2 linked regions of the Astyanax mexicanus genome follow. The protein of the gene in region 1 purifies or fractionates together with the protein of each later gene. This does not show direct contact. Links are inferred from orthologs where the notes say so. Each region holds a gene or a part of one and is shown in the gene's direction. Other genes may lie near its edges. The genes, in order: mybbp1a and sirt7.

Region 1 (17,342 bases):
AACAACTGGGTGTATAATGTTTATAGTGGATATAAAAGGTTTTAGAACAGATTAAAAGGGGATTTAAGGTGTCTAAAGGAATTTAGGCCAGGTGTTCTGGGTGAATAAAAAGTTTTAGGCTGAGTGTAGTGATTTTAGGGTTGGCATAAAGAGCTTTTGGCCTGGTGTTGGGGCTCAGGGGTTGTATAAGGGGCTTTAGGGCTCGTATAGCGGGTTTTGCTGGATATAAGGGGCTGTAGGTTGGATGTAGGGGGCTTTTAGCTCAATATAAGAGGTTACAGGCCACGTCTAAAGGGTTTAAAGAGTGGATATAAGGACTGTAGGCTGAGTGTAGAGGGTTTAGGGTGGATTAAAGGGGATAAAGGCCGGATGTAGGGAGTTTAATGTGGATATAAAGAAATGTAGGTTGGGTGTAGATGGTTTAAGATAGATATAAAGGTCTATAGGTCAGATATAGAGGGTTTAGGGTGAATAAAAGGCCAGGTGAAGGAGGTTTAATGTGTATATAAGGGTTGGCAGGCTGTGCATAAGGGGGTTTAGGGTGGACATATAGGTCTGTAGGCTGGGTGTAGAGGGGTTTATAGTAAATGTAAGCGGATAAAGGTTGGGTGTAGAGGGTTTAGGGTGGATGTAAGGGTCTGTAGGCTGATGTGGAGGGTTTAAGGAGGATATACGGTTATGTAGGCTGGGTATAGAGGGTTTAGGGTGCATATAAAGGCCTGTAGGCTGGGTGTAGAGGTTTAAATGTGGATATACAGCAAGGGGCTAAATGCCGGGTGTAGAAGATTTAGGGTGGATGTAAAGGGCTTGTTGTTGTGTTGTAGTAAGTTGGATAAAAATCATCGTGAAAGACCACCAGAGCAGAATGTGTGTTGTTTAAGTGAACAGGGTGAGATAACTGTTTTTCTGGTTTATCCTGACACATCTAAACCCAGAGAAACTCATCATTCTGCTCCATAAACTACGACCACTGCTTTTGTTTTTCACTAGAAAAGCATCATCTCAGCTATAAAACGTGGTAAAGTGTTGGCAGCACTTTATGGAAAAAACAATCATACAAACACACACACACGCATACACACACACCAGCAGACGAAGTGTGAGTTTGTTGCACGCGACATTTACTCACAGCAAACAGAGCATGGTGAGACACACACACACACACACTGGACAGCAAGTTAGGGAAAAATGTTAATTTGCCCAACAATCAGAGCACATTTAAATATTTCGGGAATTCTGCCTCACAAAAAAAACATGCAGCTTTTTACAGTCTCTCTCTCTCTCTCTCTCTCTCTCCTTCAGTGTGTGTCAGAGTGTCTCTCGCCCTGTATTCAGAGCAGTATAATGCAGGGATTTACAGTAACTCACTGTTTTCTCTGTACAGTTTGTGGTTATTTTAGTTCTGCAGTGAAAAAACGACTTCAAAGCCACTACCTGAGAGCAGACATGTGCTTTTCAGAGTGTGTGTGTGTGAATGTGGGGTGTGGATTATGGTCCATATGGCTTTATGTGTTGTCAAAAATGCGTGTAAGCTCAAATCCCAAAATCACTGCGTTGATCTTAAAAGTAAGTGCATGGTTGTCTTTGTACATTCTACTGATCTAATATAATTAACACACACACACACACACACCTTGTCTGCTAACAGCCCCTAGCATTAACTCTCGCTCTGTTGAGTGTTTAAAGATGAAACAATTTTTTTAAAAACTACAAATCTGTTTTAAAATATTTATTGAGCACTGAACATTATTAAAAACCCAGAAGACAAACCAACAAAGCACAATACATTTACCACAGCAGCACTATTCTAATCGCTTATTTCATTAATTCAATCAGTGTGTCATAAATTTACCTCAGTGATGCTGTTTACCTAAGCAGTGCTATTTTGGCTATATATGTACCTCAGCAGTCCCATTCTAATCACGAATTTACCTCAGCAGTGCTGCTCAAGTCACATGTAAGTGAAATTTACGCTACTAACGCTACTATACTAGTCCTGTACAGCTCGTATCTTTCAACTGGAAGCAGCCAGTTTGTGAAGACGTAGTAAACTGAGTAAACTGATAGTGAGTGTGTTAAGTGTGTAAGCTGAGTGCTTTATTTACTTTAATTATTGTGGGTAGAGAGTAAAAAAATGTAACCTGGCGCTTTGATATGAGCGGCTACTGAAAAAAAGTCCTAATATCAGAGAAAACTCTGCAATGTGACTTAAAATAAATGAGTCAATTTTCAATATAAATTATTTTGCCATTTTCAGTCAAACAAATTTGGTTGCCAAGTATTCGGTCCACCTGTAGTATATATATAATACATATGGGACATATTATTAATAATGTATAAATATAAATTGTTGTGTCAATCACTGTGGTGTGTGTCTGTGTAGTGTGAGAGTCCTTCATTCATCTCTCTCTTTCTCTCTCTCTCTCTCTCTCTCTCTTTGATCATGACTCACTGATGTTGCTCTAATCTGTCTTTCTGTCATCCTGCCATTCTTCTGTTCCTCATCCTTTCATCCTGCCACTGTTTACTGAGAAACAGATAGTTTTACTGCTTCATCTGATACCTGCAACCCAGCACGCCCTCTCTACACACACACACACACACAGAATGCTGACCAGTTGTGTGATGGCCCCCTCTCTGTGTTCTGGTAGGAGTGTGTGAATGAACTGATCTGAACAAGGTGAATCAACAGCTTTAGTTCTCCAGTACTAGAATCTAATTATCCATAGTGTGTGTGTGTGGGTGTGTGTGTGTGGGTGTGTGTGCATGTGTCTGTGTGATCAAAGGACAAACCCCTCATATTCACACACGCCACACACACACTGAGGTTATCACACAAAGAGATAACAAAGCCTCACACACACTACACTGCATGTGTGAGTGTGTGTGTGTGTGTGTGTGTGTGAACTACAACCTGACTGATGTGTTCTGGAGATCAAAGGTCATGCCAAAGAGTGACACTAATACCCTTACAGACACACACACACACACACACACACACACACACACACACTGTCTGCTAATAGCCCCTACTGTTAGCTCTCGTCAGATGACTGTTTAAAGCTGAAATGTGTTGAAACAGACTGAGACTGGACTAATGTGTGTGTGTGTGTGTGTGTGTGCGCGCATGTGTGTGTGTGTGTGTTGCAGGCATTCTGGAGATTACGTCTGTGGATGTGGGGGTTGTAGCCATCCGGGGGCTCAGCAGCAACTATTATCTGGCCATCAGTAAGAAAGGAGAAGTGTATGGAGAGGTGAGTGTCATCACACACACACACACACACACACACACACACACACACTCCAACAGCACTGCTGTATTGGATACACTTACTGTACCAGCACAACACACACTAACACCTCATGCACCACCACCATGCTAATCACTGCTAATCACTGCTGTATCTGATCTATCGGCTCTATCTTCACAAACATGTGGGCATATATAGTATTTATCTGTGCTAATTAGTTTGTTGGTAGTATACTCACAGTATGTGTGTGTGTGTGTGTTCCAGAGAGAGTATGGTGTGAACTGCAGGCTGAAGGAGCGTATTGAGGAGAACGGCTACAACACCTACTCATCAGCGCAGTGGAGGAACCGGAGGAGAGCCATGTTTGTGGGTTTGAGCGCTAACGGCCGCCCGATGAGGGGCAGGAAAACACGCAGGAAGAACACGGCCACGCACTTCCTGCCCATCCTCGTCTGAGCGGACACACCGAGACACACCGGCACCAGAGACACGATGAGGACGAGACACTACAGAGCTGAGATCTGTACACAGCTCCTCCAGTTCCTCCTGCTGCTGCAGCCGGACCCACCTGATAACACTGCTCCCTGTGTGTGATCCTGATTCTTCTTTTGGATATAATAATGGCACATAGTACCACAACTTTGCCAAATCAGTTTAAAGAGTTGGACAAGAACGAGAGGCTGTTCAGACTCGGGGGCTTAAAGGAAAAGTCTGGCAAAAAAAAAACAAATATACACAAATTACCACCCAGCTCAACTCCTAAATATACTCTATACCTGTTACAGAAACAAACAGCAGTGCCCATCTTAGAGCCTGAACTGTGTACCTGTGCTACAGTCTATACTAGAGTCTGTACTAGTCTGTATTGGGTCTGTACTAGAGACTAATACAGTCTGTATTAGTCTGTGCTAGTCTGTACTAGAGTCTGTACTCTGTGCTACAATCTGTATTAGTCTGTGCTACAGTCTGCACTAGAGTCTGTACTCTTCTGTTCTATAGGTTGTGCTACAGTCTGTACTACAGTATGTACTCTTCTGTGCTATAGGTTGTGCTACAGTCTGTGCCACAGTCTGTGCTATCATCTGTGGTAAAGTCTGGATTAGTCTGTGCTACATTCTGTGCTATAGTCTGTACAACAGTCTGTGCTATAGTCTGTACTAGTCTGTGCTACAATCTGTACTCTTCTGTGCTATAGTCTGTGCTACAGTCTGTGCTATAGTCTGTATTAGTCTGTGCTACACTCTGTGCTATAGTCTGTACAACAGACTGTACTAGTCTGTGCTACAGTCTGTACTGGTCTGTGCTACAGTCTGTATTAATCTGTGCTACAATCTGTACTCTTCTGTACTCTAATTTACTACAGTCTGTGCTTTAAGTGTGCGCTGCAATCAATATTGTAGACTGCACTACAGTCTGTACTACACTCAGTTCTCTTCTGTGCTATAGTCTGTTCTACGTTCTGTACTAAACTTCACGCTAAAATCTGTACTACTCTACTACAGTTTGCACTACTGTCTGTACAAGTCTGTCAAATAGTCTGTACTATAATCTGTACTCTGATTTGTACTATATCCCATAATACAGTTGTGTACACAGGTTTTCTGACCTGTCGCTTTAATGTACTGTGAAACCTGTGAAACTATAGAGGTCAGTATATGGTTTCAGAACACGTGAGAACCGTACTGACAGATGGAGGAGAGGAATCTCCACAGGACGCTGGAGGCTCTGAATCCAGATCAGTTTTTAGTTATTACTGTAATACTGAGACTGAGATTAACTCACTAAACCTGGAATCAGCATAATTTACTGTATTCTGGACCCAAATCACGGAACTGTGTCGTGGAAATTATGCATGGAGCAGGATGCTGGATCGGGAACTTGGAGCTTGATCTAGAAAGTGGATTATGGAACTGGATCATGTATTCAGGGCAGCGGATTGGATCTTGGAACTGGTTTCTGAAGCTAAATCAGGACACATTACTGGATCTATAAACAGTTTATGGAACCAGAACGTGGAACAGGTACCTGGAACTGGAGTGAAAACATGGAACTTGATGCTGAAAGTGTATTATGGAAGTGGATCATGGATCCAGAGCGTGGATGGAACTGGATCTCAAAACTGGATCCTAGAATCGGAGTATTTTACTGGATCCAGATCAAGTTTATTACTTGAAAGCATAAAACTGGATCCTAGAACCACAGAATAGAACTGGATCCTAGAACCACAGAATAGAACTGGATCCTAGAACCACAGAATAGAACTGGATCCTAGAACAAGAGCATGGTTTTTGTTCCTGGACTTGGAGTATGGAACTATATAATGGAACCAGAGCGTGAAAATTAATCCTGGAACCGGATTCTTGAGTCGGAGCATATGACTGGACCCTGTAAATGTATCTGGACCCGGGATGTGGAACTGGGTCCTGGACCTGGATCGTTTTACTAGACTGTGAAACAGGAGAATGGAACCGGTCACCTGACGACCCGAGGGTCATTAGAGGCGTTTGTAAACACAGCTCTTGACTGCTTTCTGATATATTATTTATTTGTATACTATTTAAGAGCAAAATGAATGAAGTGTATGTAATAAAAGCAGCTTTCTGTACTTTATATCAAATAAAAGCTATTTTCTCACTCTTGTACAGAGTCTGAGTACATCTGTTCACTCATCACCAGTTACTGTGTGTGATTAGCTATACATCTCAAGGTGTAATAATCAATAAATCAATTGATTAATGAATCAATAAACCTTAAAACTGTTACTCTCATTTTATATTCAATGTACCTGAGCCTTTACAATCAATAGCTTAAAACAACAGAGAAAAAAATGGATTAAAAAAGTTGAAAATTTAGCAGAACTAATTTAAAATGATCATATAAAAATTAATCTAAGATATAGAAAAGTTAAATATAAACAAAAAAATAAAAAAAAAGAAAAAAGCTAAAATGTAAACATAAAAATTACTAAAAATATATAACTAAAGTATTAAATATACTTAGTGTATAAAAATACTAAAAAACTTTTAAGAAAAATATGAAACTAAAAAAAATATTCAGGAAGAATAAAAAAAAGAAAAATGCTAAAATATAAACATAAAAATATAATCAAATAAGTGTATAAAATAATAAGAAAATTATAACAGTACTAACCGTACTATATTAATAACACTACAAAATAAGATTAAACAAAATGTAACTATTACAATTTGAAGAGGAATAAAACTAAAACAATTAACAGACAAAATAAATAAATAAACATATTTCTAAACAGATAATTAAGATATGTTAGTGTATAAAATAATAAGAAAATATAAACAGAAAAACATAACAGTTCTTATAAACGTAGCAAACACAACAAAAATAGGATTAAAAATGAGAGTTGGTTAATAATAATAACATTACTTATAAGATTTAAAAAAAATAAGTATTACAATTTGCAAAGGAAAAAAATAAAACAGGTGATACAGACAAATAAATACATAAATAAACACACATATATATTTCTAAACATAAGATTTTATTGTGATTAACACAAAAAAAAGTTTTTTGCTGGCTTTTGTAGAATGTAGAATGTAACTGTAGCACCATTTAAGGTGGAACGGATAATTCGTGTAAAAAGCTAAATGTAACCTTAGAATTAGGACCACACACGCACACAGAGATATTTTCCACTACGCTTTCTTTCCTTATTAACTCAAATCTCTCTCTTTTAACCGAAACATTCCTCTTTATTTCCATTACACCCGCATTTTTACAGGAACACACACAAGCGGAAAACTCGCTAATAACTGCGCGCTATCTGCAGATTTACCAACAGCTCCGCGGATACAGTGGAAAAAGCTGAAATCAGGGTTAATGAGGGGCAAAACTACCCCAGATTACAGAGTTTCTCAACATTTCTCACAACAAACCTGCTGTAAAAGAGAAAAGAGCAAAAAACAGGCCTTATAAACAACACTGACACTAACGGAGATGAGACTGCACCACAAATTAACTGCAATAAACAATATTATTTTACTTTAATAGTATTTTAACACAATTTAATGCTAATAATATGATGACAATAAAATAGCATGATGCTAATGGATGCTACACCCTTTTAAAAAGGTAGTGATTTTCTTTTGTTATCATTATATTAAAATATTGGGGACATAGGGGAAAAATTATGATAAAGAAACAAATGAAAAATGAAAAAAAAAACATTTCAAAAACAGATTAACTATAAAGTTTCTGATGATTCATAAAAAAACCATATTAATGGTAAAATAAAATATATTTAAATGATCAAATTGAATCAAATAGTAAGAAAAAAAACAAGAAAACCCCAATAAGCATGAAAACTGAAACTAAACTACTAAATATATACAAACATATATACTATGATAAATAATAATAATAATATTATTAATAAAAAACATATAACAACCAAAAACAACTAAACACGTAGAATATTCAGACATAGGACAAAAATGGGTCATATATTCTCAATAAATGTTTTTTTCTTTTCTTTTTTACAAAGATTACAGAGACAACTAACATTAAATTTTAAAAATGATTAAATTGAATCAAATAACTAAGAAAAAAGTCAAGAAAATAATCATAACATTAAAATTTAACTGCTAAATATATACATACATATATAAAATTATAAATAATAATAATAATAATAATAATAATAATAATAATAATAATAATAATAATAATAAACACTAAAAAACATGTAGAATATTCAGACATTGGTCAAATACTGGTCATATATCCTCAATGAATGCTTTGTTTTTTAGTTGTTTTTTTTTACAAAAATGACAAAGGAAACTAAGATTTCATTTTTGGATTTTTTGTAACTGGAATACAGACTCACATTCACATTAATGTAAATAACTCCTTAATAACAATAATCTCATTACTATATCAAAGATTTGTCTTGATAGCCCTAACACAAGTGATCTAAATAACGATACCCAAATGGGAAAATGAAATAAATTATAATGAGACTAATTCTAATTATATTCAAATAATATTAACATATTATTTTCTTGCACATATAACTTACATTTTTTTTATTTTAACCATTTATATGTCTCTTTGTATTGGACGTAGATATGCCTTGTACAGTATACTAAAACGAACTAAATTAATAAACAAATACATTTTAGTATGGAATGGTGTAATAAGCAAAAGATGGTTTGTTGCCTGAGGGCAACATTATACCATAGAGTGTTAAACTACATGCGCACTGTTAAGTAATTTCTCCAAAAAAGTTAATTAAAATAAATAAACCTTTAAATGTTAGTGAAAGTTAATGCTACAGTTTGAGGGACTCTTATTTTGAAATGGTTGAAAGTCAAACCGGAGGTTCCCCCGTTCTCTCTGCACGTGTTTCCCTCTCGTGTTTTTCTCTACACGAGTTTAGTGAAGGCGAGCATGGTGGACCCTGATAGCGGCCCGGTTCGGCCCGCTGTGGCTGATCCGGACGGTGTTCTGAAGCGGAGCCGGGAGCTGCTGGACCTGTTCTGGGAAATCGCCAAACCCGAGAGAGAAGCGCGACTTCAGGCTGCCGAGAAACTGGTGGAACAGCTGAAGAAGAGTGGAGAGGTTAGTACACTCACTGAACTGGACCTCAGAACTTTTCAGAACCATCACAGCAGCTTAGTACCAGGATCAGTGCCCGTTCCACCTTAAATGTTCGGTTAGTTAGGTTAGCTACTCAACTGTTGTCATCAGATCACTTACAGATACTTCTGGACTGTTTAAGGTGGATTGAAGGCTGGTGGAATAAGAAGCTGGCTGGCAATCTGAGATTATTCTTGTCCAAATTGTTGTAGGTGGACACTCAAAATAATATTGTTGACCTTAATCTTCCTTCTGGAGTGCCTTTTACACCCTGTATTCCCTGTATCTCAGTTTTCTTTCTTAAACCTTGTGGTAATCTGATGAGCAGTGGTGGACTAAGTACACAAACCATGTGCTCGAGGTTAAGTATTTATACTACAGGTAAAGCCCCCCTTTAAACTTTAACAAGTGTAGAAATTCAGAAATAGTTTAATTCAAATATGCTTTGCTTCTGAAAGTAGCGATACCATCATTTATTTTTGCTATAATATTCTGTTATAATTTTTATGATTACTAGTCTCTTATTGATTAATCAGCTCGTTTTAGCTGAAACTTTTTTAATGTCGCTCTAACGTCACCAGTCTTTTGATAGAATGTCGTAAATGTCATATTGATGCCTGTTAAAAAGGCCACAAGCACAAAACACTAAACGAGAACAGTTTTCATTAGTTTGAACCAAGTTATTGTAAATATCTTTTTTTTACTAACAAGCACATTTTGGTTTAAGGTTTATATGTAACTTACAAGTTATGAGCTTAAGTTATGATTTTAAAAAAGATTGCTGTATCTATATGTTCCATATATTCATTATTTATGCAGTATAGGCACACCCACAATTTTTCACTGCTGCATTGGGCAGCTGCTGTTTGTCCAACAAGTCAGAACCAGGTAAAAACTAAGAATACGCTGTACCCCGATTCAAGTGACGTGCCCTGAATGGTGGGCTTGCTTGGTGCTTCTTTTATGATACAATACTCTAAAAGCATCTGATAAATTTGATATAATGTAATGTACTTTTTTATATACCCAAACAAGCCAAAATGACTGACAAAGTAGTGGATAGTAAATAGTAATATATTTGAGTTTGAAGTAATAGTGTTAAAGTAAAAAAAAAAATCACCTAACATGGATATGTTAGTAAAGTACAGATACACAAAAGTTTACTTAAGAACAATAATAATTATACTTCATTACTGTCCTCAATTTCTCCTGATTGATCAAGTAATATTTCGCTGTGCTGTGTGTTGAATTTGTAGACTATTTGCACCCAATGTGAGTGAGACCTGCTTAGTTTGTTTAATGTTAATGTGGCATTCTAATTATTACCTGAAACATCATTGCTTTTGTTTTGTATTGTGTTCTTTATTTTATTTTTTGTTGTGTTTTTCAGTCGGATGAGTTACAGTATGTGGTGAAGAGGCTGGTGAATGGACTGTCTCATGCACGAGAGCATGCTCGCACTGGCTACAGCGCCACACTGGCACAGGTAAAAAAAAAATAGCCTGTATTAGACGATTTTTAAAAAATATAAATATATAAATACCTCTTCTGGGTTTGCGTTTCTGGAGAAACACAGAATCTTCAAAACAGTTTGGTTCCTGTATTAACTGCTGGATGTACTGAAAAGTTCCAGTACAGTTCTGTAGGAGAACTCAGGTGTGTGATTTGTGTTTCTGCAGGTGCTCAGTGTGTTTGATGAACTTCCACTTAAAAGCACACTTGATCAGATCAAAGAAAAACATGATCTACAAACAGCCAATAAGGTAGGAAAAACACTAGATTTTTATTTAAAGAGACAAATTGCTTTTGCTGAACTGCTGGGCTTTGAAGTTGGGACTGTCTCCACCACTCACTCCTTATTTCTCTCTTTCTCTCTATCTCTCTCTTTCTCTCTCTCTCTCTCTCTCTTACTCTCTCTAATTTTCTCGTTCATTTTCTAACTCATATATTTATAAAAATTGTTTATGTGCAATTTTTATCTGTGCGATTATGAGTAAATAAGCGTGGTATCGGATTATCTTATGCCAGTATTAGTATTTATGCATCTCTATTAATGATTATTGGTGTTTCTAAATCTTCTGGATTTTCTTTCTCACTCTTTCTTTCTCTCTTTTTATAGAAACAAATCAGAAATGTGGCGTTTGGGAATTTTTTTGGCGTGCTCGCGCTGTCTCAGTCCACACGGTTGCACAAGGTAAGCTCCTCGTACTCATTACGTTGTAATTACATTACTCTGTTTTTATTTATTTGTAGAATTTATTTGTTAATCATTTTAAAAACACAGAATTACTGAATGTTTTCACACAGTCAAGTTGTCTGATGTCTGTCATTTCTCCAGGAGCCGCAGGTACTGCTGGAGTGTATTAAGCTGCTCCAGACTCTGTCTCAGTACAGAGAACACCTGAGAGAACTACCCAGGAAGACCATGGTGGACATTCTGAGTGAGGTTAGCTGAAGATCGGCCTTTTCGCCTGTGATGCTGCTGATGCACGTTTGATAAATTAGATTGTTATGCTACTCTGTGCCTTCATCTGGATGTGTATATATATATATATGTATATATACACACAAAAGCGTTCACACAAAGAATACAGTTTGTGCTAATTTATTAAGAGTGTTATTCATATGCTTATACCTAGGTTATGGAAACTGATAGTTTAAGGGAGAAAAAATCCCACACTGCAAGCATGCTGCTGTATTCAGAGCCATCCGCTACTTTCATCCACGCTTTTTTTTCCCCTCCAAACTGTTTACACAGATACACACAATTAATTTTTAACTGACTGGCAGCACTTATATAGTTATTATTTAATTTAATTCTAGTTATAATCTAATACTAATTCTTTCATTTACATTAAAATACCTATTATTAAAAGCTTTACATTTGGTAGGCCACATTGCATACACATACATGCACTTGATATTTGCACTGGTAATTTTTTTTACAAAAAAAATTATTGAAGTTTTTTTTTTTTTTTTTTTTTTTTTTTTTTTACACATATTTTGTAAGCAATTATTGTCTTTTAAGAAGCACAAGCTATTACAATAAAGGGCAAACACTTTTTTGTGATAAAATTGTATGTTTGAATGTTTGAATAATCATTTAAAAATCAATATCTCTCTGGGTCAGAAAATGGGATTGGCACATCCTTAGTATTTTTAATTTCCACCAGTTGGTAATACGTGCTGTTGTTCTGAGCTGCGTTTGTGTTGTGTTGTGTTTCAGACTTCAGAGGAGGTGTTTGAGGAGGTGCTGTTTAAAGCACTGCAGACTGATTTGACCTCTGCCCTCAGCAGCCCAGAACAGTTGGAGCTCCTCCTGGTGGCCATGCAAAAGTTTCCCTCAGTCATCAAACCGGCCAAACTGAAGAAACTGGTGGGGACTGCAAGCGTCATCAACAAAAACACCCTGCCACGGTGAGACACACACACACACACACACACACGTATACAAGGTTTTTTATTATTATATTATTATATTATATATATATATTTTTTATATCTTGATACTGACAAATGTAGCATCTAAACATATTACACATATACTGGCTGCTCATTATTAGTACAAGAAAAACTAACAATCAATAATTATTTAATATTTCAGTTAGGGGTGTGCCATAACACCATACGCAATATCAACATTTTATTTATAATTTGTTGCAGTAGAGTATATTCTTGAAATCGTTTTAATTCAGAGTTTTGTCTTATCACCAAGAATATCATTACTGCAATAATACCATGAAGTATCATAAAAAAATATTGTAATATTTTAGGGCCATATCGCCCACCCCTATTTTATATTTAATCTCTAGTTGTAGACGTCCTATACGGATGAGTACTCACTGGCAGGGACCTGCAGGGTCTATACACACACACACACACACACACTGTATAGCATGTACTCAATCATCAGCAAACACATACTACTTCATTGACAGTTTCATACACACAGGTCTTCTATGTTTATTGATTTAATCTGTACTTTAAAAGAAGTTGTCATGATGTGTTGCACTTATTCACTTATTCACTTATTCACTCATCCTTTGTGACCCTGCCTGTGTTCTGATAGGTTGGTTCAGGTGTTGAAGACGGCCGCTCGCTCGGTGAAGAAGGAGAACGTGTTGCCGACGGTGGCTCTGGACCTGCTGCAGATGTCTCTGAGGGAGGACAGCTTTGAGCTCTTCTGGAAGGAGGCCGTAATCAGCGGATTACTGTTAGACCCTGCAGGCCCCTGCCAGTGAGTACTCACCCGTATAGGACGTCTACATCTAAAGAATAAATATAAAATAGGGGTGGGCGATATGGCCCTAAAATATTACAACATTGTTTACGATACTTCATGGTATTATTGCAGTAATGATACTCTTGGTGATATGACAAAACACTGAATTAAAAAGATTATTTCAAGAAAACACTACTGCAACAAATTGTAAATAAAATTTTAATATTGCGTATGGAATGACATGGCACACCCCTAACTGAAATATTAAATAATTATTGTTTGTTTATTTTTTTGTACTAATAATGAGCAGCTGGTATATGTGTAATATGTTTAGATGTTAAATGTTAAATTTGTCAGTATAAAGATATATAAAATATATATATGTATATAATATAATAATATAATAATAAAAATCTTGTATATGTCAATAGTATTAATAGTATTATTCAGTCTCTGATTCTCCTGTTTTCCTTGTTTTTTTCCCCTGTTTTTTTTTTTAGTTATCTGGTGTTCAGGCTGTTCGGTGCGGCTCTGCCGATGCTTTCTGTGTCCCAGCTGAAATTTGTTCTGTCTGGAGAAGTGATGAGACGCTATGGGGAGCATGTGCTCTCTGCTCAGGTGAGTCAGACAATATCTGCTGTACTTTTAAAATTTTTAGGTTTTCTCTTAAACAAGAGCAGGGCCGGATTAAAAGAATTGGCTGAAAGGGCTGCAGTCCCGGGCCTCGGGTCGCTGAATGTCAAATTACAAAATTAATAAAAAAAACGAAAATTACAAGCAATAAAAAAGTAAAGAGCGACAGAATTATTACAGAAAACACCCAAATTAACCAACGTGGAGTAGTCAGCCTGCTGTAGCAGCTACCACCAGCAAAGATGTGCTGACTCTCTCTCGCTCTCTCACTCTTATTATCCTGCGCACTACCAAAAAGCCTTTGATTGTGTTTTAAATGAGTTTTTATTTTATATTAATTATTGTTTTATTCATTTGAAAATATTTTTATTTTATTGATTAAATTATTTTTTTTTTATACATTCTTTGTTTTTTATGTATCCATTTTAATGATCTTTTTAAAGTGTCCTATTTTTCCTTTTTTGCGTATATATTTTATTGGTCTATAGTAAATGTCAGTTTTTAGTTATTTCTAATCAACCCACACCCCACACGATATCATCGTCCATCGCGATGTTTCCCTGTAAACATCGTCATCTGCCAATTAAAGAGACATCGCCCAACCCTAAATTGAATTGAAATCATGTTACCAGTTCACTTTAAACGGCAGTCTGTTATAGATTGGTACTGTGTACGCTGTCGCTGATGTGTCCGTGTGTTTGTGTGAGGTCATGCATCAGAACATGATATGAAGGGCCTCATCCTGGTAATTAGCCCCGGGCCTCAGAAAGTGTTAATCTGGCACTGAACAAGAGTATGTGTTAAAGGAGCACTGGGTAAGATTGATATTTTTAGCTTGTGATTTCCCACTGGCAGAGTGAAATTCACAAAAAAAATCTGATTTTTTTGCTCACTGCGGCTCAGATCTCAGATTTTTTTCACGGTTGTGTGCCAAAATCATGCCAAATCTGACTTTTTTTTCTAATCATATTCGAATCACTATGTGGTCCTAAATGGAATACATAACCGATCCATGGATATGTGACATGAATGTGAACGGTCATCCTGTCTATACATGTAAATGAGCAAAACAGAAGGGTAGGATTAAATGGTTTCTAACATATTTCACATTTGGACATTGTTTTCTTTTGGATTACAGCACCATAAAGAAGAGTGCTAATTCTAGTTGATGTAATGCTATTTACATATTAATTATATAGGTAATTAAGTCTCATTTTCTCCTCTTTTGTTTCTTGTCTGTCTGTGCTCTTAAAGCTGCCTGACCGGTTTAAGTTCTCCCCGGAGATGGACGTGTTGGTGAACTCCTTCATGCAGAGCTGCAAAGAGCCGGAGAAGCAGCTGACTGTGGTCCTGGCCTTCACCCAACTCACAAACCAGGGCTACCCTGTCGTGCCATCCTTCTGGAAGGTTCTGGAGCACATGAATCCCACAGCTTTGAAGACGTATGTAGAGTGGCTGAAGGAGGCGTTCTGCAGACCACAGCTGGACAAATGCCTGGAGTTCAGCACCCGCAAACAGAGGGAGGGTCAGGAGACCGCTGTCAAGTAAGTTTTTATTGGGGTGAGCAGTATGGGCCTAAGATAGTATCACATGATTTCAGAATAAACCTCCTGCAAAAAATAAATGTTAAATTGCTTTTTAATTGTTTAATAAAAGCAATGCTCAGAGTGTTTTTTTTTTTTTTTTTCCTTGTTTTCCTCATCAGGCCTCAATCAAGTGTGTTTCGTTTCCGGAAATGGATCATTCCCAGACTCACCTCCATCGTGGACAACCAACAGATTAAAAAAGACGAGGAGCTTGTTATGAGCATTGCCAGGTAAACACACACACACACACACATTAGTCCATTCACACAAATGAAGATACACCATTGTTTCCACTGGACCCTGATCTTTACTCTTTTAGATTTTGTAATTAAAGAAAAGAAATGGGGGGAAAAAAGTCTAAACATGCACGCACACACTTTCTAATGACATGTATGCCTTTATTTTTGCTTTTTGATCTTTAATTCTGACGTGTGTTGTCTCTGTCCTCCAGGTTCATCTTCTTCCATGCTTTTTTCAACACTAAAAAGGCCACAGCGTCGATACCAGAGACAAAGCGCTCTCTCTCGGAGCCAATCGACCAAAACACACGCACCGTCATCAGCAACTCCTTCATTAGGTACTGTTTTCTGTTTTCTCTCCCCTGTTCCTCAACCTGGACTGAGTGTGTTAAATTTGTTTATCATGTATTCATAAGCCTCTCACTGATTCTCTCTGATCTCTGTGCCTCAGTCTGCTGCAGCATCTGAACGTTCTGCCTGTTCTGGAGGGCTCTGCTGAAGCTGGAGCTCTGGATAAGCGCCGGACGCTGGGCGTGATGACCGATGGATCTATGTGGGTGTATCGCCTGGTGGAGTACGCAGACATGCTGCTGAAACAGAACAAATACGTACAGAGCGTTCACACCTTCACTGAGGAGCACACAGAGGCCTGGGAGAGGTAAGAACCTGGCGGCAGTGTAGGAAGAGTTTTTCAGCATCAGAATCTGAGCCAGTCGTAGTCAGAAGAATAAATTATAGAAAATAGGAACAAGTTTATTTATATATATATATATATATATATATTTTTTTTTCCCAAAAAAAATTTACAATGCGTCTTATAATCCGGTGCTCCTTATGTATGAATTCTATCAGTCAGGTATTAAGGAGCAGTAAAGACACTCCACTGAAGTACAGAGTTATACAGGAGTTTCAGTTTAGTTCTTCAGCGGTATTAGCATTAGCCGCTAACCATGCAAAGTTCTAACTTTTTGGCTGTTTAGAATGAAGTATTAACGGCCTTCGAGCCCTGGCTAGCACTGCTGGAGCAGCGTTATCATTAACCGCTAACCGTGCTTGGTGTTAGTTCTTTTGCTTTTCAGATGTAAATATATAACACTGTATTCACGTTTGCTGTGTTAAAACAAGATACATGGGACGAACCGCTAGCTAATATCACCGTGGCTTACCAGAACACTCAGAGGTTCCTCAGTGTAGCTCTGTCTGGTGGCATTAGTTGCTAACCTCTAGCGGTTAGCCGCTAATGCTCAAGCTTTAGTGTAACTCTGCAAATCTAAGCTTACTGTAAATAAACAGAAGCGCTTTACTCACCCAAATAAACATTTTGTAGGAGAGAAATCTGTGTAGATTAACATCCAGCGCTCGTTTGACTTTTGACTCTAATTTGTCTGATTGCCAGACCTGCAGAATTTAGAATGAAAACTTGGCGACACCCCTGTTTCTACTACTAGCTACTAGTGTTGCATAAAATGCGCCTTATAATCCGGTGTGCCTAATGTATGAAAATAGACCAGGAGCTGAAGCTTTGCCATGTGTCATGTTTGCAGCAAACAGCAGAACAGCAGAAGTGTGCTTTTCTAAGTACTTGACATCCTTGTAATGAAGAGGTTAATAATAAAGACTTCAGTGGTCATTAAAAGTTGGTGTTTTGTATTTAATTTGGAGAAAAAAATGACATACATTTAAAATTTTAGGTACTTAAAATTCCAATTTATAGTCAGAGTTAAATAATTTGAATTGCAACTTACTGCAGAAGCGCCCTCTAGCGGCCCGCCGGCGGGCCCGTTCTGACTATGTAAAT
Region 2 (16,249 bases), on another chromosome or scaffold:
AATTATAGTTTTATTATTGGCTATTATTAGCTCTCATTTAGATATGGATGACACTCCTTACTTCCAGGCTCAATGGCAGCTGAGATGAGTGACTGGGCCTCCCTCACCCTCTTCATGGCCTCCTCGATCTCCTTGTTCGATGCATCTGCCTTCAACCCAGGGTTTAGATTTAAACCAGCAGCCATAGGGTTCAACCTGCGAGGAAAGAAAGAAAAAAATTAAAAACTGAATCAACTAAAAGACAAAAAAAATAGAACGAAGAGACCTTCATAGGCTTACTTGGGATCTATCGATGCCATCAGCTTCATCAACTGCTCTGCAGACAAAGACTGAAGGAAAAATGAAAAGATTATTATTGCTTATTACGCAAATAAACAAGATTTAGTAGTTGGCATTTTAAAGAAGCAATAAGAAATATATTGTTTATCAAACCTGGGGGTTCATATTGGGTCCAGGCATGCCCAGTGCAGCCATGGCATCCATGGCAGGCCCTCCCAGACTGCCAAGAGGAACACCACCAATCTGTAAAACACAGGAAACGATTACAATAAGTCCAACATACACTGATTAGCCACAATATTATCACCACTAACAGCCAGGTGAAGTGAAATACAGGTCCTTTAGTCAGTTGCAATTGTGAGGATTTGAACCACTTTGACAACATGGATCAGACCTCCATAAGGCAGATTGGACTAAGACACTGCCACTATGATTGGGAAATTGCTGTATCTTGCCCATAAGCTGCCAGAGCCATGAGAGAGCACAATTGGCCTTGCTCTTTCTTAATTGGGAAGATGGTGCTCTTTCCCCTCACCCCTCCTAGGGTGATATCGCTCAGCACAAGGCATCTGTGAGCTGATGTATCAGAACCGAGTCGCAGCACTTTCCTCCGAGTGCGCTATGATGCTACTGGATAATGCTGCATCAGCAGCAGTTGGAAAAGATGTGGTGGCTGACTTCGGAGGAGGCTTGTTCTAGTCTTTATCCTCTTGGTGTTGGGGCATCACTAGTGATAGGGTTGGATATTTGGTCTTGTAATCTTGTATATACAGCTGCAGGTGGTTCTAATGTTATGGCTGACTAGTGTACATACCTAGACAAGTCATTCTCAACAGCACAGTAGGCAACACGGAATGACCCATACTTACAGATGGCACTGGATTGGGTGTGGGGAGAAGCCCACCCCCTGGCAGCAATCCTGCAACAGCATTGGCTGGAGCCAGCAGGGACAGAGCTTTAGACTCATCAGGAATCACACCTGCAGGGTTTTGGGGGAAAAACAGACGGAAACAGAAGTTAAAGCCAGGACTTTCATATCCTCATCACACAAACATCCAAAGTCCAAGTCTACACTTCACATATACACTGGATAATTTCTTGTTTTCAGGGCTATCTAAGACATAATGTCCCTTTACAAAAGCATAATTGCATGATACTACAAGAAAAAAAGAAGAAAATAACAGTCACTAAACACACTGCCAAGATGTTATCACCTGAACTTGATTTTTTAAGTCATGAACCAATTGTAAGCAAGCACAGCCGGCTGTCCAGTGGGATGTGCTCTCATGTTTCATTAGCAGTTTTATGAACAAGCGACTCACGTCGGCTGCTTCGCTATAAAGCACACAGAAACATCAAAAATAGACAAAACAAAGAGTTCATGATTCGGAGATCAACAGCAAATCACAGTTCATTTCTAAAGGGATGACTAACCCTAACTACTGACAATCAAACTAGCTCCTAGTTCCTGTCCTTTACTGCAGGCTTTTGCTGGCGTGTGGAGCTTCTACTGCTTACACTATATGCCAAAAAGCTTGTGAACACCATTCTAATTAACGCATTCAGCTAATTTAGGGCTGAGAGAAAGCAGTGTCTCAATTCTGTCAATTTGTGTCTCATTAAATCACTTTAAACCAACTACAAAATAAACCTGTATCACGATCAATGCTAATAATGATGATCTGAGATGTGTTTGTATGTGGTTGGTGTGGTGCAATGGAAAACACCACCACCTGCCAGTGAGCTACCATGTGGGAGACTGGGGTTTAATTCCAGGTCTGGGTGACTATAGTGTGCTACACCAAAAAGAGCCCTTGGGAAAGACTCCTCACATTACATTGGCCAACCTCTGTAATAGAAATAACTTTGTAAGTGGCTCTGGATAAAAGCATCAGCTAAATTATGTAAATGTAATGAAAATTAATGGATTTGCCATAAAACACCAAAGTATTTAACTGTTTCCGAGCTCCAAAGTAAAGAGAACACAGCATAGGCTGCACTCCAATTGAATAGAACTGTCTAGAGCAAGGGTTCTCAACTGGTCTCAGCTCGGGACCCACATTTTCTCACATTATTAAGTCACAACCGACTTTTATAGAATAAGATTAAATATCAAAACTGCAAAACTTTTTACAAGCTGTTCGCGACCCGCCCAGAATTTTTGCAGGCTGTGGCTTAAGGGATATAATTCCTCCCAACACTGTTCTGTAAACCAGTGGGACTGTGTTCTATTGAATGATATATCCATACTTTTGAGTCATATCTTGCTGGACAATAGAAATGGTTTCTTGCACCATCAAATGCAAAAATAAATAAATAAATAAATAAATGAGCAGGTGTCCCAATACTTTTGTCCATATAGTGCATCTATGTTACCTTACCACATGGCCTACTGAGTAATAACAAGTGAGTGTCCGGCCAGCAAAAGCCCACATAATCTCAACTACAGAGTCTGACAAAATGCCAAAGAGAAAAGTAAAGAGATAATAGCATTTCGGTAGATGGCTGGAATCCATAGGTCAACGAAGCAAATCTGCAATTAATGTTTTTTCTCCACACATTGATTATCTTTGATGAAGCGAGAGAGTGAGTAAGAGAGAGAGATTTGAGAAACAGAACAGGACAAAGCTGCAGGACAAAACTTTTAGGTGGCATTTTCAGCTGGGTCTGGTTTATAGCACTGGCAGAACCAGGGAAAAGAACTGGAAAACACAACAACAAAAAAAAAACAGAAAAAACGCTGTTAAAACCACAGGTTCTCAGGCTTTTGTCTTCGTTTGAGTTAAGTGGAAAAGATTAATGCTCTAGAACAGTCATGTCTTGCTTTTATCTTAGTGGTAAAATGACTGAAAGGGTAAAAAAATAAATAAAATATAAATATAACATTTAAACGTAGAAAAAATATCATAGTAAGGTTGACATAGTGGCTCTCAACGCACAACATTGAGGTCAGCAAAAATGACTGAGATAATGTCCATATATTTTACAATAAGTTAAAAATATAATCACTGTGACAGGCCCAACAATTGAACATCAAAAAAGTGATGGAACACTTTCCCAGACTCCTAGAAAGGGATTAAGCCTAGTCTTGCACTACACAGCATTTCAAATAGACATTTTCAGCTTAAAAATAAAATGTAGTCTACACCTAGGCTTAATCCCTGTCCATTAAAGTTTTTCCTTTAAGATCCATTTTGCATGCATACTGTATGACTTGTATTAGCATATTTGTCGTAGGTATCAATATCAGAGAGATATCAATGCAGAGAGTCCAACAGAACAACAAAAAACAGTCAGAGTTTACAGCAGGACAGCTTGTGGGCTCTTGAAGGCCTTTATTTTGTTTCTACAGTTCCCTGTTGGCAGCAGAGGACCTGTCAGTCGCCAGCCGGCTCTGCAATTGCCTTGTCCACTACAAAAAGTCAGACACACACACAAACATACATACACACACACAAATGACAGAAAAAAAGTTTATCCAAAACTTGTGTAAAGCAAATGTGCTTACTGGATGAATAACAGACATACCACTTCTCCCGCAACTAGTGGGATTTTCTCACATATTCATAGCAGCTCCCTAAAGCCTGTATAAGGTATTTAAATACAGCTCAGGAAAAAAAATAAGAGACCACTTAAAAATGATGAGTTTCTTTGATTTTACCAAATTGAAAAACTCTGAAAGATAATCAAGAGGAAGATGGATTATTACAAGCCATCAAACCAAGCTGTACTGCTTGATTTTTTGCACCAGGAGTGGTGTAAAGTTATCCAAAAGCAGTGTGTAAGACTGGTGGAGGAGATGCATGAAAACTGTGATTAAAACCAGGGTTATTCCAGCAAATATTGATTTCTGAACTTTATGAATATGAACTGGTTTTCCTTGCATTATCTGAAAGCTCTGCATTTTTTGTTATTTCAGCCATTTTCTGCAAATAAATGCTCTAAATGACAATATTTTTATATGGAATTTGGGAGAAATGCTGTCCATAGTTTATAGAATAAAAAAACAATGTTCATTTTACTCAAACATATACCTATAAATAGCAAAATCAGAGAAACTGGTTCATAAACTGAAGTAGTCTCTAATTTTTTTTGCACAGCTGTATATAATAATGGAGAGTTTAATAGAAACTACCTGTGCCTGTATTACTCATGTTAAGGAATGTTTACAGGTGTCATCCTTGTACCGGTACAACTACAGTTATATAAAACAGGTGTACTCACATAAACTGCAAGACTGTAAAGGATTGTACATGAAAAAAAAAACATCACACAGGAAAGAATACTCTGCTGTTTTGAAGACGGGCACAAACCTTCAGCGAATGGGACAACGATCAGGGCTCTGTCCACGAAGACCGTGTTCGTCAGATGCTGGGAAACTCCAACTGATTCAGATTCGAGGAACTTTACAAAACAGACACGTGAAGTCACAGGCAAGGGAGAATCACTGGAAGAAAATATAAAGGCTTTTGCAAGATGTACAGACAGTTCTAACATTTACACACACCTTCTCCACTCAAACCAGCTTCAACACTTTGCATTGCCTTGATGAATCCCGTACGTGTTTTTAGAAACGCTCCATCTTGGCTCTCTAAGGCACGTCCTACCTGAACTGCCGTTATGACGTGAAGTTATGACCTGATGTGTTTTGGACAGATGGAAAATAACAACAAAAAAGCAGAACACAAGTTAGCTATCTGAGAAAATACACTATGAGTTACAACTCTTACTCAGTCATACACAGAAATAGAGATTCTGACTGGTTCTGCCACCCCATCTATAAAACAGAGGTTCTGATTGGATCTGCTTTCTACTTGTTTATGTCTATAGGTCACTATCAGTCATTTCTCTTGATATGTCTACATTTCATGCCATACATGGATCAACGGTCCATTACACTAGGGTCAGTACTGTATAAGTGAGCCTATAGACCCAAAGGATTCAAGGAATAAAGACCTTATTTTCTTAACTGAAGTAAAAGAGCTCATTATTTGGACAACCACATTTTCCTCATGTAAACTTCAGGCAAACAGAAATTACCCATCTAAAAATTACTAAATAAGTGAAAAGGCTGAATAATTTAATATTGTGCTTGGTTGATATGTCTGCAGAAATGTTAAAAATGTAGCATTTAGGCAATTGTGGAATAAAAGTATAAAACCTGGGAAAAAAACATTGCATTCTGTGTGAGGATGCACAAATGTGGGAGTTCTAGGCCGATGCAGATATCTGATATTAAAATGAATAAATATTAGCCTAAATCAGTGATTGATAGTTGTACAGCCAGTGTTTTTGCTCCAGCAAAAAAAAAAGAGATTAAGAGTGATTAATATTATATTTTGCATAATTTTCGTAACTATGGCTGATAAAAATAAATGCAAAAGAGTTAATGCAACCAAATATTAACGTTTATACAATATTCTTTGCTTACAGGGTACTGTCTTCTATGCTTCCCTCTGCTGACAACTTTTATGAAAATGCGGATTTCATTTTTCAGCAGGACTTGGCACACTGCACACACTGCTTTTAGAGTTTCCATTGGCTGTAGGTCATAATCATTAACAATAAAAGAAATACACGCTTAAAACAGATAGATATATAATATATAAGTTTCACATTTCGAACTGAATTACTGAAATAAAGCAACTTTTTTTAATGATATTCCTTTTTTTAGATACAGTAGTATTAATATATTAGAAAGGCTAGCTAACCATTATCTGTGAAGCTCCATTCAGACATATCCACTGCAGTGCTCAGGCTGCAGCTGGTTAGCTGTGCTGTGCTGTGTTGTGTTGTGCTGTGTTATATAAAGCACCGCTGTGTGTACAGTGTGGTACAGTGCAGTATTTAGAGTTACTCACTCTGGAGGGAAGAGCTTGAGCTCCTCGATGTTCCCCAGGAACCCAAACAGGGTCCTCATCTGCTCGGATGTGGCGCTGGGAGAAACATTGGTGACCTGAACCACGTTCGTGCTGCTGTTCATGATCAGGCCCTGCTGTTTACTAACGCCCGCTGGCGGATCAGCGCTGCCCACAAACAGCAGCAGGATTCAGGCGATTCCCCGCGGCTCGCTCGGTCCGCTCATACGAGTTTACCTGAATTTAACCTACAGATCAGCTCCACAGAGCCCAAATTCACCCAGCTTTCTCTATTAATAACTAATTAACGGATTTAAAGGCTCCCTAGCTACTGCTCCCCGCTTCTCATCTGGATCCTACCAGCAGAAAACTGACTAAAGTCAATGGCTTTCAAAATAAAAGTCTAAAACATTTAATTCTATTTTTAATGTATTGGCCAATTGAAATATATACAATAACATACACAATACATCTTAAATAAAATCTTAACATCTTAAATAAAATACTTTTCTGAAATTGTTAAAAAATCCAAACAAATAAATTATATTGACTAGGTGTTGCATACTAGTGCATCTCAAAAAATTAGAATATCATTGAAAAGTTACTTTATTTCAGTAACCAGTATTTAAAGCGTTTATTAGCGTCCCACTGCTGACAAGTTTTATGGAGATGCGAATTTCATTTTCCAGCAGGACTTGGCACACTGCCCACATATATAAAAAATCATATAATATGATTTTTTTTTTTAAAAAACACAGATTTTTGTGTTTTCATTGACGGTAAGCCATAATCATTTACAATAAAATGAATAAACGCATAAAATAAATCCCTCCGTGTGTAAAACATCTGTATAATATATGATATAATTTACATTTTGAACTGAAATACTGACATAAAGTAACTTTTCGATGATATTCTAATTATATTCTCGTTCCTTCTTTTGGGCAGTATAAAAATATAATCCATGCATTTCTTTATCATGGTAAATTAAAACATTTTAATGTAGCCCATAATATGTAGTGCTATTCATGTATGTCGTTTGTGTTATAAATATTATATTATTGTTTAGAAACTGTAACATTTAATATTTCATATAATACATAGCTATGTAGTTTGTACATAGTTGGTCACTCTGTTAGTCTGATTATATTTCATAATCAGAATAATTTATTTTTGCTTTTGATCTTTATATGTTGTACGTTGTATTTATCTATATCATTTTTAATTTTTCTTTTTTTGTCGTTATTGTTACAGCGATCAGGCTTTTCCGTGATAGTTGTACCATATATCATGTATAAATATTATGATTTTATGTGTGAAAAATAAATTTTGATCAAATTATTATTTTTATTTTAATTATTTTTTAATTATTTAATTATTTATTTATTGTTATTTCTAAATCTATAAAAACAAATCTATTCGATTATTTTTTTTCTTTTAGTACAAACATTAAACTGATTTCCTCTTTTATATGAGAAACCTAAAAAACTAATGGGACTTTAGTGGGACTTTTATTATGAAACGCAGGGTCTCTCCTGTTTTGAATCAGGAAAGCTAGTACAAGAATGGAGACCCAAACAGAAGGTGCTGTGCTTTCCCGAGCAGAGAGAAAAGCTCTGGAAAAGGAGAAAATCATTCAGAAAGAGACTCAGAGAGAGACCTTTAATCTGGTGAATATATCAGCTGCTTTATTTCCCTTCTTAAAAGATTTACACCTGGTTTAATAAACGCTAATTTAGCTAGTAATGTAACTTAGATACTTAGCTAGCCGGTAAGATAGCCTAGTCTGTCGGGGGTGTTTAAATGCCCCAGCTTCATTAATAACAGCTGTTATACTAAACTTTAAAATGTGTGTATATGTAGACAGACAGACAGACAGACAGATAGTAATATAAAACAATAATAAGCATGAACTAATAAAAAAAAAACACAGTCAACTATAGACAACTATATCTCACCTATTGCAATAAGGCATTAAATAAATACAAATAATAAATATTAACAATAAGTCAAGTCAATATTTATTGCAAATATTGTACGCTCTGCTGGTTAATCTGTTTTGTACAGGTTTCCAGAATACTGAAGAAATCTGAGTGTGAGCGGACAGAAGAGGAGATTTCTCTGCTTCACTCTCACCAAGAAACTGTCCAAGAGCTAAACAAGCGATGGGTCAGAAGAAACACCTTGAAGAGGAAGCAAGAAGAGGTGAGTTTGGTTTTATATGGTTGTTCTTTAAATTGCTATACTGGTGCATTTTAATCATTTAGAATATAATTTCCTCAAAAAGTTAAATTATATAGATGTTATTATACACAGTCAGCTATTTTAAGCATTTAATTCTGTTAATGTTTATGATTATGGCTTACAGGTAATGAAAACCCCAGTCAGTCAGTATTTTAAATTACATTTAAATTAAAATTTTATATGAAAAAAAAAATACAGAAATGCTGACACACTGAAAAGTATGTACAATATTATCAATATTAATTCAGCCTGTGGCACTGCTGTGGCATTGAGGTGTTATGAAAGCCCACCTCATCTTCCTATTGACAATAGTCCATAGATTTCAAGCTCAGGTGAATTCGCTGGTCAATCAAGCACAGTGATATTATGATTATTAAACTAGATATTGGTCATTTTGGCAGTGTGGGTAATTTCTGAGACACTGACTTTGCAGTTTTTATTATCTGTCGTAATCATCAACATAAAAAGATACTCTAGATCACTCTGTGTGTAATGAATCTATAATAGTTTCAGTTTTTAAACTGAATTACTGAAATAAATGACCTTTTTGATGATACCCTACTTTATTGATATGTACCTGTATATAATTTTTTTTGTATTTTGTTTTAGATTTGTGTATCAAAGCAGCATTAATAATAATTTTTTTTAATGGTTTTCGACAAAATGGAAATATTTTGCCACTTCGATGAATTACCTTTGTGCTCTGCTGCTTTTAGCTGTTTGATGATGAGGACGAATTGAGGACCAAAGTGAAACAGCTGGCTGAAGCCATGCGTCAAGCTCAGCATGCTGTCATCTACACAGGAGCCGGTATCAGCACGGTACTATCAACTCCAGCCTCAGAGGATGTACTTTCTTTTACTGCATGCATAATAAACGCTTCAAATATTAACCATCATTGTTTCATGTTTGACAGGCCGCATCCATCCCAGATTACCGTGGCCCAAACGGAGTATGGACCCAGCTGCAGAAGGGACGGACTGTTATGTGAGTGATGCAGTGTGCATTTCTCCACTTCTTCTGTTTTTATACAAAATAAAAAATAATTATTGTCCCCCACACATTGTGTCACATTGTGTCACATTATGTTCCACAGGGCTTCTGACCTCAGTGATGCAGACCCGACTCTGACGCACATGTGCATCCGGATGTTACACAAAATCAAAATGGTCAGTATGCTATTATTTAAAGACCAAGGAGTAACTCTTAGAACCAAAAATGAGTCTGTGATAGTACTGTATTATGCAATTTTGGACGTAGCAATAGACTTGATTAGGACCATCATGAGCATAGAGAGTGTCAGAGACGAGGCAGTGGTTAGGGAAATATGACAAAAAATGTTGCTTAGATTTTATAATTATTATTTTAATAATAATTTTTTCAATGTATTCATGAATGTCAGCCAGTACTTGGTGTTTGCATGCAGACTAAAGTACCTCTGTTTACGTGCAGGTTCAACATGTGGTCTCCCAAAACTGTGACGGCCTCCACCTGCGCAGTGGCCTTCCCAGACCCGCCCTTTCTGAGCTACATGGGAATATGTTCATAGAGGTGACCCTCATACTTTCTTATGGCTGTCAAACTTAACCATATCTTTAGTTGCATAGGAAAATCTAAATATTTATCATCTTGAGTTCCTGACACAGCAAGCTAACAGCACAAATGTGTGCTGTGTGCCGAAAATTCTTTTTTAGTCTGTTGGCATGTATTAATTTACAATCAGAAACCATCAAAATCAAAATGTTCTTCACTCTTATTCTCCAGTCCTAAACATGCCCATTCATTCCATACAGGTCTGTGTCTCATGTTCTCCAGTACGGGAGATCATTCGACTGTTTGACGTGACCGAGCGCACAGCGCTGCACAGGCACGGAACAGGCAGGAGGTGTCCCCACTGCGGAGCAGAGCTGAAGGACACCATCGTGCACTTTGGAGAGCGAGGCACCCTGGAACAACCCCTCAACTGGAAAGGTGCTGCCGAGGCTGCAGAGCAGGCTGACCTCATCCTCTGCCTCGGCTCCAGTCTGAAGGTAATGCAGCGATTCATGTGACTCTCCTTAGCTGTACCTTTCTGTTATGATTATGGCAATATCTGATTTTTGTATGTGGCACATTGGCAGGTCCTGAAGAAGTATGCATGCTTGTGGTCTATGAAGAAGCCAGCAGCTAAAAGACCAAAGCTGTACATCGTCAACTTACAGGTAATGACTCACACTTACTTTTTGGCTCCAGCTACAGTCCTGCAGTGTAACTTCACAAATTCACACTTGTAGCCACACAGTACACACAGTATAGTCATGAAAGTGTAAGAAGCACAGGGACTAAGGAAGTACTATACTAAGGAGTAATATAACAGGATTGACACACCATGCTACACAGTTTAAACCAGTGTTGTCTTTTTGTCTGCTACACTGAAGTTACATGGTGCCATTAGCAACATTCAGAGTCAGTGGAGCATCGCAATAAATTATTAGATACAAACACTATATAATATTGTTTTAAAGTGACAGTCCGAAAGTTTGAATGAATCTGGTAATTTTAGAGAGGTTTAGCAACACCATGGTTGCTCACATAACCAGCAAATGCTGTCATAGTCATCACTCTGTTTTTACATGAATATACAGCTCTTGAAAAAAATTAAACCACTTAAAATGATGAGTTTCTTTATTTTTATTTTTATTTTTTGACCAGGAGAGGCATAAAATTATCCAAAATCAGTGTGTAAGACTGGTGGAGGAAAACATGCCAAGATGCATGAAAACTGTGACTGATTCAGAAACTGAAGTGTTCTCTTAATTTTTTTTCAGAGCTGTATGTGGCTTTGCAAGAATTGTAGCAGAAGCACACTGATGCCATTTTTATAATATGTTGCCATCTCTCCATTTAGGAACACTACTGCTTTCAATCTTTTATTTTAAAAGAAAAATCTTAATTAATGCTGCTTTAATCTATCTCTTTTTTCAGTGGACACCAAAAGATGACTTGGCCACTCTTAAAATAAATGGAAAATGTGATGATGTGATGCGTCTTCTGATGGAAGAATTGTGCACTGAAATCCCAAAATACAACAGGTAAGGAAGCCCTCTGTTTGCATTACTGTATACGTTTTATGTGCTTTATCATCGACCAATCACAATGACTGCTCTCCATTGTTTGTTTAAGAATCTCCTGAAGACAGAGCTCTTCAAAGAGCACTTACTCTCCTAACACCTCTAACACGCTAACTACTCATTTCTTTTTTTTTTCTTCCTTTCCTCCTTTATCCCATTATTTCTCTTTGACCTCCTTTGGCCCCGTCTAAAAATGTTTTTTTGCCTTAAACTTTGGACAAAAGCGTCTGCCAAATGCAATGTAATGTTTTTATCTCTCCCAATAACAGAGCAGAGGACCCTATCTTCCACTTAGCCACACCCCTTACGCCACATGAAAAGGACAGTCACACTCGTAAAATTCTAGCACCCCCTGCTGCCCTGGAGGACTCTGAGCCAAATTCAAATTCAGGGAATGAAGCTGAAGACAATGTAATAAAGGGTGGGTGGTTTGGACGAGGCTGCAGCAAATCAAGGAAGAAAAGGAAAGCAACGTAGACAACTGTATTTAAAAAGAACTATTCTACACAAATAATTACTGAATGTGATTCTTACCTTATTATCCTCATTTCACACTCTTTCTCAGTGGTCAGGACCCCACGGGACCACCACAAAGCAGGCAGCTTGTTGTTTAGGTGGTGGGTTATTCTCAAAACTGCAGTGACACTGACATGGTGGTGGTTGAGTGAAACAGACACAGCAGTGCTGCTGGAGTTTTTTAACACCTCAGTGTCACTGCTGGACTAAAATAGACCATTAATAATGATAGTATGATGTGTAAAGGGGTTAAGAATCACATTTGACTATGAATTCTAGGTGAAATGTTCCTTTGAAGGAGTAAGTCTTGGGTTAAGGATGGTGTGAGTGCTAAATGTTTTCAGTATTAGCTGTTTTTTTGCACCTTGATTTAATCCTCTCAGGGATTCAACCCAAGCAATACATGGAAGAGGTTCATGGCTGTACGGAATTAACATATAGGTTTGTCTTTCATCAGAATGAGCTAATATTAGCCAATTACAAGGTTTCAACAAAACTTGACGTTACATTATTATTTCTACTACTCAGTGTTGGAGACGTTACTCCATAAATGAAGCTAAATGATCTCAGTATTACAGAGATTCCTGCACAACATGGTGAATTCCAGTGAAACAATGTTTACAGCGCTAAACTGTGTCCCCAACTGTTTGTGGTTCTAAAAATGCAATACAGGAAAACATCATAGAAGGCATTAACAGCCACCGCGGACATAATGTCTTCTGTTACAGACTTTTGCATCTCATCTGTTGAAGAGATTTATGATTCTTAGAGAAAGGAGAACTACATTTTAAATTAATTACACAAGTGTTCATCTTAGCTCAGATAACTAAGGTTAATATTTAATTATTCTTTATGATGAGGCATAACCTACCTCCAACAGTGTTATTCGTCATATTTAAAGGTAATTTAAGAGTGCAGATTTCTATAAATGCACAATCGGAATAATGAAAACAGTTAAAACAGTGTAAGTAAATCATGGAGGATGGTCTACAGGTTTACTCTAACCAGAGTCAGACCCTCTGTCCAGTCACAGTAGATCACAAGTGCACAATTTACTGCAGAAGAGAACTATTTGTTTTGAGTTTTGTATTATTAATCATTTTAATTTATCATGAATGTTTATATGAATATTTTGTCTTGACTATCTGTAAGTAAAACAACTATAATGTTTAAATGTTCCTGTTACGTTTGAAACATTGTGTGCAGTGTCAATAAAATTAAAAATGGACTCACAAAATACAGTTCAATGGACTTCTTTTGGAGCATTCCTTTTGGTCCACTTGTTGTGTAAGAAAGTAAGATTAGTTTTTTTAGCTGAGGTGTTTGCATGACCAGAAAAACGTTTCAGGATATTTGGAAGGCTATTATTATCAAGAAAGTGTTTAACTACTGGCATATATGATTTTACTGAGTTTATGAATCTGAAAATACTTTATCAAAATAAAATAAAAGCCCCAACATTTACAGAATGCTTTATAGTTATTGTAATCATAAGCTTAACATTTAATAATAAACTGAGTGATTTAAGGTTTGTGGGTGTGTCCCTCACTTCTCTCAGACTGGAATTCACTTCTCTGTCTTCCATCCTGACACAAGTTTCCAGGAAAACTGGTAATCCTGGGCCACCTTAGAAGAGACTTGAAGGCTGTGTCTGAATATAACTGATGAATACAAGGAGACAGTATGTAAGGTTCGTTGTTAGACCCCTTACCACCATTGTTGTTGGAAATGCCACCCTTTCAACCCCTCATTCAGCTTTTGTCAGTTTCTGGACAGCATTGATGAGCTCTGGGAAGTGTGTGTTTTGAAAATGTCCACGGTCTGTGTATTTGTGAAGCTCTGCCTTCAGTCCATCAGCTACTTCCTGCTGCTCCTCCCAGGGTAGGAAAGGATCATCTGTTGATCCGAACTGAACGATATGCTTCACGTTTGCTCTGATCTTCTCCCATTCCCACGGCCGGCTGAAATACCCTGAACACAGAGAGGAAGATATCAGATAGATGGAATCATTTTAAGGTACAGTACCCAGCTTGGCAACGACAAAAATTTATATATGACATAAAAGACATTTTTTACAAGCTGTCAATGTACATTAAATATAATATGTTTAGACTAAGATCTATAATTAAGCTTATTTCCACTAGAAACCGACTCACCACTCTCTCTCTCATTCTCATCTCCCAGGTCTGAGGTGTAGGCTCCCACCAGAATGATACCAAATACCTTGTGCGTCTCACCATATCTAAGGTTTGGGTAGAAGGGAAAAAAACAAACACAGCAAGAATGCAAATATGTAAAATGGCTACAGAAATCCAATTTTAAAGCTGCATGTTACGCTCCCTCTTCCCAGACCTTAAACTTTTGCAATGTTTTGCAAAGCATAATTATTTTCAAAATAGTTTCAATTGTGCTCATCAGTAGAATTATCATGACTTAATTTTAAGATACTGACTTCAGGAGAACTACCTGAAGGTAATGTGTGTATAAACAGTGTTTTTAATAAACTGCCTGTGTCAAATGTCATTATACATGCATTAATATTATTAATCTTGCTGACTGATTAGTTGTTTTTCTACTGTTCCGTTATGCATGGAAATCATTGCTTGGTTATTATATATATTTTTAGACTATTAATTTGCAGGATTTCTACATGTATATGTGGTCCCGCTTCCTGGAAAGATTAAACTCTGTGCCACGCTACAAGATATTCTGACGGGTCCCATGGAAGTGCAGAACTCTAGTGTGGAGCTTATGAATGCTGTAAAAACTGCTATTTCCTTGCATGGGCAATGCTATGCCCCTATCTCTAGCATTGTAAGTCTGTTGGGAGCATCAGCTAACATCAATGTCTTTTGGAATGCTGGAGGTGAATGGAGGTGGGCTATTGGACAAATATTTTAACTTATCAGGTTTCACTACAACCCAAGTCCATTTAACACCATATTTCTCATTTAAATCTGATGTTTATTACCTCATAGCTGCAGCAGCTCCAGAGCTGTGACCAATGATCACTGTTTCTTCATCACACAGCAGGTCATTCTCCATAAAGGGCAGCCATATGCTCTCCCTGGCAGTCACTGAAACAACAGTCATTGTGCAAAGAACCTGTTAGAAACATGGTTTAAACTAGCTCTACAAGTCTCGACACTTAACGCAGCTTCTGGAAGGTTGTGTAGTTACCTACCTGGGTCTGGCATGTTCTTCAAATGGCTGGACAAACCTGGAATCTGAGGAGTGAAGGAAAACAACTTTGAGGTAATTTACTCAGGAAACAACCACTGTATGTATCAACACTACCTGGCTGGGGTTAGATTTCATACACAACTAGCATTATGTGCTAGCTTGCTACTATGCTATTAGCTACTGTGTGGCTTACAGCGAATGAAAACCTAAAAATCAGTGTCTCAGAAAAATAGAACATTATATAAGACCAACTGGTACTGTTGTCAGTGGGGGCAGTGTGCCAAGTCCTGCTGGAAAATGAAATCTGCATCTCCATAAAAATTGTCAGCGGAGGGAATCATGAAGTGCTGTAAATGTTTTTGGGAAAACACTGCACTGACTTTGGACTTGATAGAACACAGTGGACCAACACCAGCAGATGACATGTCTCTCCAAACCCTCACTGATTGTGGAAACAACTTCACACTAGACCTCAAGCAGCTTGGACTGTGTGTCTCTCCACTCTTCTTCCAGACTCTGCTCCCTTGATTTACAAATGAAATGCAAAATTTTCTGATGATCAATGATGGTTTGGAGAGCTGTCATCTGCTGGTGTTGGTCCACTGTGTTATACCAAGTCCAAACTCAGTGCAGTGTTTTAGAGATGCGGATTTCATTTTCCAGCAGGACTTGGCACACTGCCCATACTGCCAAATGTACTAAATGGTCTTATTTAATATAATAATTTGTTTTTAAATATTAATATTTAGGTTTTTATTGTCTGTATACCATAATCATCAACAATAAAATAAATAAACACTTCACATAAATTAGTTTTTAACTGGATCACTGAAATAAAGTAACTTTTCAATGATAGTCTAATTTTCTGAAATGCACCTGTAAGTAGTAGTTAAGTAAGTACTACTAGCTAAGTAACTAGGTTTCCTCCCAGCCCTGGTCCTGCAGAACTCTGCACTGCATAGTTCAGAGATTTCGATACACACCTTATTAATCTGCTTATGGGCCCATCCATACCAGTTACAGTGCACCACGTCCCCTGCACCATTGCCTGGAACAATC

Evidence for each region.
Region 2: the proteins of mybbp1a (region 1) and sirt7 purify together in Homo sapiens (affinity purification with western blotting; 3 studies listed by BioGRID, with this or other methods). This does not show direct contact. The link is inferred for Astyanax mexicanus from reciprocal best matches to the Homo sapiens genes MYBBP1A and SIRT7.

Annotation. Positions count from the first base shown.
Region 1 is NC_064429.1:11,718,396-11,735,737, forward strand, and holds the start of mybbp1a (myb-binding protein 1A-like protein), read left to right. Parts: upstream 1-8,615; 5' UTR 8,616-8,675; coding exon 8,676-8,846; intron 8,847-10,254; coding exon 10,255-10,350; intron 10,351-10,543; coding exon 10,544-10,627; intron 10,628-10,983; coding exon 10,984-11,058; intron 11,059-11,202; coding exon 11,203-11,310; intron 11,311-12,090; coding exon 12,091-12,281; intron 12,282-12,933; coding exon 12,934-13,101; intron 13,102-13,586; coding exon 13,587-13,704; intron 13,705-14,973; coding exon 14,974-15,263; intron 15,264-15,424; coding exon 15,425-15,535; intron 15,536-15,756; coding exon 15,757-15,882; intron 15,883-15,995; coding exon 15,996-16,202; intron 16,203-17,342. Other genes in the region: fgf10b (fibroblast growth factor 10b), read left to right, coding at 3,151-3,254, 3,516-3,707. UniProt on the Homo sapiens protein: May activate or repress transcription via interactions with sequence specific DNA-binding proteins. Repression may be mediated at least in part by histone deacetylase activity (HDAC activity).
Region 2 is NC_064423.1:31,802,907-31,819,155, reverse strand, and holds sirt7 (NAD-dependent protein deacetylase sirtuin-7), read left to right. Parts: upstream 1-7,696; 5' UTR 7,697-7,702; coding exon 7,703-7,807; intron 7,808-8,204; coding exon 8,205-8,342; intron 8,343-9,097; coding exon 9,098-9,202; intron 9,203-9,297; coding exon 9,298-9,368; intron 9,369-9,477; coding exon 9,478-9,550; intron 9,551-9,833; coding exon 9,834-9,932; intron 9,933-10,174; coding exon 10,175-10,411; intron 10,412-10,501; coding exon 10,502-10,582; intron 10,583-11,345; coding exon 11,346-11,452; intron 11,453-11,760; coding exon 11,761-11,968; 3' UTR 11,969-13,181; downstream 13,182-16,249. Other genes in the region: srsf11 (serine/arginine-rich splicing factor 11), read right to left, coding at 62-195, 280-329, 433-522, 1,149-1,258, 4,593-4,726, 6,141-6,262; serine hydrolase RBBP9, read right to left, coding at 13,755-13,978, 14,164-14,249, 14,979-15,084, 15,192-15,234, 16,174-16,249. UniProt on the Homo sapiens protein: NAD-dependent protein-lysine deacylase that can act both as a deacetylase or deacylase (desuccinylase, depropionylase, deglutarylase and dedecanoylase), depending on the context. Specifically mediates deacetylation of histone H3 at 'Lys-18' (H3K18Ac).